Yarrowia lipolytica: one gene and its partner. The protein of the gene in region 2 interacts with the protein of the main gene of each other region in a pairwise test. Links are inferred from orthologs where the notes say so. Each region holds a gene or a part of one and is shown on either strand. Other genes may lie near its edges. The genes, in order: YALI1_F31432g and YALI1_B18902g.

Evidence for each region.
Region 1: the proteins of YALI1_B18902g (region 2) and YALI1_F31432g interact in binary tests that used the Saccharomyces cerevisiae proteins (3 or more experiments, as listed by UniProt). The link is inferred for Yarrowia lipolytica from reciprocal best matches to the Saccharomyces cerevisiae genes SDS22 and YPI1.

Annotation. Positions count from the first base shown.
Region 1 is NC_090775.1:3,141,667-3,144,450, reverse strand, and holds YALI1_F31432g (uncharacterized protein), read right to left. Parts: upstream 1,194-2,784; coding exon 813-1,193; downstream 1-812. Other genes in the region: YALI1_F31439g (uncharacterized protein), read right to left, coding at 19-306, 463-486; YALI1_F31416g (uncharacterized protein), read right to left, coding at 2,111-2,784.
Region 2 is NC_090771.1:1,888,544-1,892,337, reverse strand, and holds YALI1_B18902g (uncharacterized protein), read left to right. Parts: upstream 1-2,125; coding exon 2,126-3,184; downstream 3,185-3,794. Other genes in the region: YALI1_B18921g (uncharacterized protein), read right to left, coding at 1-68, 120-172; YALI1_B18887g (uncharacterized protein), read left to right, coding at 3,560-3,794. UniProt on the Saccharomyces cerevisiae protein: Regulator of the mitotic function of yeast type 1 protein phosphatase.

The DNA of each region.
Region 1 (2,784 bases), on a different chromosome or scaffold from region 2:
AATCGTTCTGTCTCACGACTACTTTCGCTTTCGCTTCTTGTCCTTCTTCTTGAGAGCCATGCCGGCTTTCATTACGTCCGTGTACTGTTTCCAGAACTCGTCGAGATTAGAAGGGTCCACCTCGGTGGTCAGCTTGGTCTTCTTTCCTCCAGTGGTGTAAGCCACTCGGATCAGTAGAGGGTACTCCTTTGAAGGCTCTTCGGGCTCCACGTTGGCGGGACTGAGTCTTTTTTGTGTGAAATAAAGGGAGTGCTTCTTCTCCTTCTTGGAAATGCCGTCGAAAGCGTCCTTGAGCGACGAGATGAACTGTGTTAGCTGTGGGTAGTGAGATATTGATGGCCTCTGATCGTTTCATTCATGGGTTTGTGTCACAAGTTCTAGCCGATTGGATCAGCCCAAAGCCCTCCTGGTTCAAGAGCAATCAAGAGCAATCCCTTAATCGTCCTCTAAAATCGTACTCACCTCTGTGTTGGTCAGTCTCGACATTCTGCGATGATGTTGTTGGTCTAGTTTGATTTCCAGGTAAAGGCATGGAGAGATCAAAAACCTTATTTCACATCCCGACTTGTGTTAGTAAGCTTGTACTGTACCCAAGAGATCTCTACAGTACAGTACAAGAAATGTACAGAGCAGTATGAGTAGAACGTACAGTCTACTTAAAAGATACAGAGCTACCACAATTACTTGGTTCCTTCTTTCTTAAATCATCAAAAAAACAATTCCTATCTTACAGTGTTGTAGGTACATATGTCTGTACAAAAGTAGCGCGGTTATCGTGTTTGTTGGTGTAAAAATGCATATTGTTGTAACGATTAGTTCTTCTTGGGTCGTGGCTTTCGCTCGTACGCATTGGGAGAAGGGTCTCTGTGTCCTCCGCACTTGCCCTTGTTCTTCTTCTTGGGTTTTCGGGCATTAGGAATATCTCCCTCATCGGATTCGGGTCCAGAATCGTCAGAGCCACACGATTCTTCCTCGGACGACTCGCCAAACTCGGCCGGCGGGTGGTAGATGCAACAGATTTTCGACTTCTTCTTGTCCATGTGTTCGTTGTCCACGACTTCCTCTGTAAATCGAACGTTGGAGTCTTCGTCTTCGGCGGCTCCTCGTACGGTCAGAACACCTGGAGACGCCTCCCGTTCAATCACCTGTGTGCGTGACGACGATGGCTGTGCGGCCTGCTGGTTGTGTGACATTGTGCGTGAGGTGGGTCTGTGTTTTGTGTGGTGTGTGGCAAATGAGTAGGTGGTTATATGACACCATTATCTCAGCGGCAGGAAGAAGTACTCTTCATGCATGATGACATGCGCACCCCCGTTTTGGAGCAATAGAGTTGGGAGCAAGATAGACTGTATGGACGAGAGTAAGGCGGTGGGGCGATCATGTGACCAGGTGAGAGAAATATGAAGAGCACACCTTGGATGTGCTGAGCTGTTTAGCAGATTCATTTTTTCAAATCGAGTAATCGTGGACCATAGCCGCTATTGGAAGGATATTTATGGCATTGCTCTGAGTAATCTAAAAGGGTATTTTAGCTTCTGTACTGTACTTGTTAAAGAGTACAGTATGTACTGTGACATGGAAGTTTTGAGATAATGAGAAGATGTGGTACATACTTACAAGAATGGCAAAGGGGAAGAACCGAAACTGCTGACCGCAGTAGTTATTCATTCGGCTCATGTCCACGAAGCTAACAACGTTGACTATTATACTTGACAAAAGGTTAAGTATGAAATCCACTTTAGTAAAGAAACCAAGAGGCAGTCCTGTCAGTCCTGTGTTCACTGCTGTCGTGCACTACATACTTCAACAAGTGAAGACCGTAACTTTTCCCACGTCCATACAATACGTCGTCTATCAGTCCTATAGGGGAGGAGGTGATCCGGAGTGTATCACTTATCATCTAAGGACTGTACCCCCCAGCTTGTGCTCAAGATGCTATATAAGTGCCGGAGTGGTCGTAGATTTTCTGACTCTACCACAGGCACTTCCACTGCCGCCAGAACACTCCAAGCCCTGTGTCTCTGTAGTCTCAGTTATCCTGATTACTATCTGTCAGAGTCTCTTTTGCCATGGCTCACCATCGTCAGTCAAATTGCTTCGATATTGCTCGCTAATTCTTCCAAGCAATGTCCGATCTGAGAATCCACTTCTCACCCGCCGTCACCTCTCGTCCTTCATGCAACAGGCAGTCCTCTCCATGCTTATGCAGCAGTACACTGCCATTAGTGGGCTGGACCTCGTACGACTTCCCTCCATCCTCGTAGAACATAGTCTGACCTCCCTGGCATTCTGACAAGTACAGTAGCAACGTCCATCGTGTAGTACAGACAGTCGATCCCACCTTGCATCTTACCGCCTCGTCGTAATGCTGATCAAAGAACTGCCCAGGGGTGTATCTGTACATTCGAATGTTGGGGTTGAGTCCAAAGGCCGATTTGAACTCTGACAGCTCCGGATCAGACTCGATAATGGGCTCCAGCTGGTGCCAGAGGTAGTTGCAGATCCCTGTATCTTCCACTGCCCCTCGATCGTTGACCCGAGCAGCATAATCTTTTCGTTTCGTCAGCGGTGTCGTCTCCATCTTAAAAGTGTGTGTGTCGTCGGCGTCCGTCTTAACAATGGTTTGAACCAGATCATTGCAGACTTTGGCGGGTAGAAACCCATGGATCACGTAAATCTGGTCCTTGAGTATCGTCTCAGTGTGGACCTTGTACGACTTGGAGGGGTCATTGTCGAGCAGAGACTTGGGCCAAGGAAAGGCTGTGATTTTTGCTGATTTCGCTG
Region 2 (3,794 bases):
GTTTTACGTCATGGTCTTGCTGAGTGCGTTTAATATCCCGTACAAGTACAGCAAGTCCCCAAGAGGAGCTCCACCCCTCAATACATTATCTGCGTGGGCGCACATTGCGGCAATTGAACCAGGCGTCGTCTAAGTTACTCCAGAGTCTCCACAAATGAGCTGATCTGCACATGACCAGGGTATGTGCAATAGTATCCTGTGGAGGCTCAGCGGGCCAACCAATTATGACGCATCTATTGCTATCAGTAGAGTAGGACCTGCACCTTTGGGTGGGGCAGTGAAACGTGCTGGGGTAAGGATTTAAATCCCGCGTTGCACTTTTCTGCTACTGTGGGGCCATCACCTGATGTCGCTGCCCCTCTATATCGTGCAATCCATAGCTTGCTCATTCCACATTCCACACTCCACATCTTTTTTTTTGTTGGACCCACGACCAACGACATTCCTAGGCCCCTGGCTATTCCCTGTTTTTTAGCCAAACCAAAGAGGACGCGTGCCGAGCATGAAATGTGAGGAGATTGCATTCAGGGGTGCAAGCAAGTAGCAACGCAACTTCACAAAGCACACAGCCGGCTCACAAGGAACAAAGACACATAGCCCTATCTCCAGAGCGGAATGGCGAAGTTTTGCTGATTACGAACTGGGATACGCCGTTTCAGTCGAAATGATTTGCGTCTTTACCGTAGCACAGCTTGGAGGAATACAGTCTTTATGAGGCCTGCTGTTCCACTTATCAGTGACACGTCCGCAGTTGGACCTTCTTTGTTAGTGGCCTGCTAAACTAGGCGGTTGCCCCAGCGACCAGAAATGCGCCGTTCAGCTGCACTTCGTAGACGCCTGTTGTACAGTTTTAGGAGAGCTTCCACACACTGGCCCTGATGGTGTGCAATAATTAGTTCACCAGATAACGTCACGTGTCTCGAAGTACTTGACCCGTCAACTACGATAGTGAACCGTACAATGGAAGCACAATAGCTCGCGTGGAACAAGCTCTCTCTTGTGGCTGGCGTCCTAGAGCCTCATTCTCTTGTTTCGGAACAACCTTGCAACCATACAGTATACAGTTTACTTGGCCTCAACAGAGCCATAGTTGTAGACTCATTTTCAGGCCACTGCGGCAAATACAATCGCCAATCGATGCTCACTTGGGCGGGGTACCAACACCTCAACTAATGCACACCAGGAGTTATCTCCTTCTGATTGCCAGGATGCGGCTGATTAAGCGTCGATCACTGAGGGTGTGGTGTAGCTACTTGTACTGGTACTGTTGAACGTGTGATTATCGTATTATAGATACTGTTTTTAGTTTAGACTGTCGCCATGAGCTGTGTGTATGACTGACTACTCTAAACACTCCTAACCTCGGCATTTCATGTTCCATAAAATGTGTGCAAACGTACAAGTACGAGTACATGTGCACTTGTACAATACGTACACCTGCTGGGGAGAAGGTAAAAAAACAGGCCATATGGCCGAGTGGAGCTCCAGCAGTACATACAGTAGCACGATAGGCCAGTCTGTATGATGTTACATACGGCTTCGTACTCAAAAAGAAGGCTGTGGAAGCCTCTGTAGCCTCTCCAACCTACTCTGCTCACTCTGATGGATCCCTGGCACACGTGAGCTATAATTAATTAATCCGAAACCCCTGCTGGTTCAGGCTTAATCTGCCAAACTCTCCAGTCTCATTCGACGGACATTATCGTCCACATCCAAAGCAAACACTTTTGGTTGGCTTTTTTTTAGATTCGCCAGTTTCCAATAATAGATTCGGGGACAATAGCCGCACGAGTCCAGAGAGGTGTAGCTGTATGCCTTGTAACGTATCGTCTCGACGACTGTGCTTGCGGTATAATAACAGCTTGTACCAGTAAATTCAGATATCACCTTTTGCAATCTTCCCATTGCACCCCAAGGCCATTCACCGAAGTATTACTAATCATAACATCTTAACCTGTGATGTTGAGCAAGGTTCGGATCTTGCAGGCCGCCTGAGATGGGGGGCGAATTAATTTCCTGAACTGCACCTGCACAGCTACGAATCCACTGATCTTACGTACGGCGGCTTTGAGATATAGCTTTTCACACGCAAACAAGAAAATCTGCTAAGCATCCTCACCCCAACATGACCGCAGAGGACACCAAACCTGAAGCCAAGGCTCAGCCCACCCAAGAGCCTGCTGCTGAGACAGAATCGGCTGTCACAGTGGTTCCTCCATCTTTCGAGTCCGACGTTTCCGAAGATGAAGAGGAGGAAGCTTTCGAGGCAATTGAGGCCGACGAAGACCTTCTGGCCGATGCTGACCTCGACATTCTCGACATTGACCTCACTCATCTCAAGATCCGTGACTTTGCCAAGCTTGGTCTGGGTCGATTCAAGCAGCTTGAGACCCTCTGTCTGCGACAGAACATTTCTCCTAGCACGGATGGCCTGGAGGAGGTATCTGATACCCTGGTTGATCTCGACGTGTACGATAACCGAATTGGCAAGATCGAGAATGTGAACCATCTGGTGAACCTCACCAATCTGGATTTCTCCTTCAACAAGATCCGTCACATCAAGAACGTCAGCAAACTCACAAAGGTCATCAACTTCTATCTTTGCCAGAACAAGATCCAGGAAATTCGAGGTCTGGACAACATGCCTGATCTTGTTAACCTTGAGCTTGGAGCCAACCGAATCCGAGTCATTGAGAACTTGGACCATCTCAAGAACCTGCGTCAGCTGTGGCTCGGAAAGAACAAGATCCGAAAGCTGTCTGGTCTGTCGGGACTGGAGAGTCTAGAAACCCTGTCTATTCAATCCAACAGAATCACCAAAATCGAGGGTCTGGAGAAACTGAAGAACCTGGAAGAGCTGTACATTAGTCACAACGGAATCACGAAGATCGAGGGCCTGGAACACAACACCAAGCTGCGAACCCTGGACATTACTGGAAACCCCATCACCACCCTGGAGGGTGTTTCGCACCTCAAGGATCTGGAGGAGTTCTGGGCCTCGGATTGCAAGCTCTCCAACTACAAGGAGATTGAGACTGAGCTTGGACAGCTGCCAAACCTCGAAACAGTCTACTTTGAGCGAAACCCTCTGCACCGAGAAAACCCTGCCACCTACAGAAACAAGGTGCGACTTTGTTTGGGCCCTTCCCTTCGACAGATTGACGCTACTTTCATCAAGTCTTAGCAGCATATTATTACGATAGCTGACTACGTTCTGTAGGCCGTGAGACAGCGTTTCTGAAATCGTTCTCTTACTGTCATATATAATAGAATGAATGCATATATTTATAGGCATCCGTGAGATTTAGCGTAGTGACTATTTGGTGTAATGCTAACATCTGGAATCTCTCCTCTTACAATGGCTATTAGTACGTAAATGGTTACTGTTATACTGTACTGTACGTTCTGTAGCTTCCATAATGTGCTTTTTTGTTGACTTATTTAACGTGTGTGTGACACACTAATTGTGGTGGTCACACAAACACAGAAAGACGCTTCCCACATTTAAAAACAGAACAGCCCACCTTAACTTATTCTCCTACACACCAGAAATAAAAACATGAGATACACAAATACCCAAGCGCTGGTGGGTGTCTGTCTACTCCTGCTGCTGGCTTGCGTGGCCAAAGCACAGAGAGAACCCCCTCACCCTCACCCCCGATACCCAATGGCTCCACCCCCGCCTCCTCACTACCCTTACTACTACCCCAACCGTCATGGAGCGTACAGACGTACTCGTCAAGCAGCAGGCAGATCCCCCGTGGGTCTCCGAAATGACCGACGTCCCAAAGCGC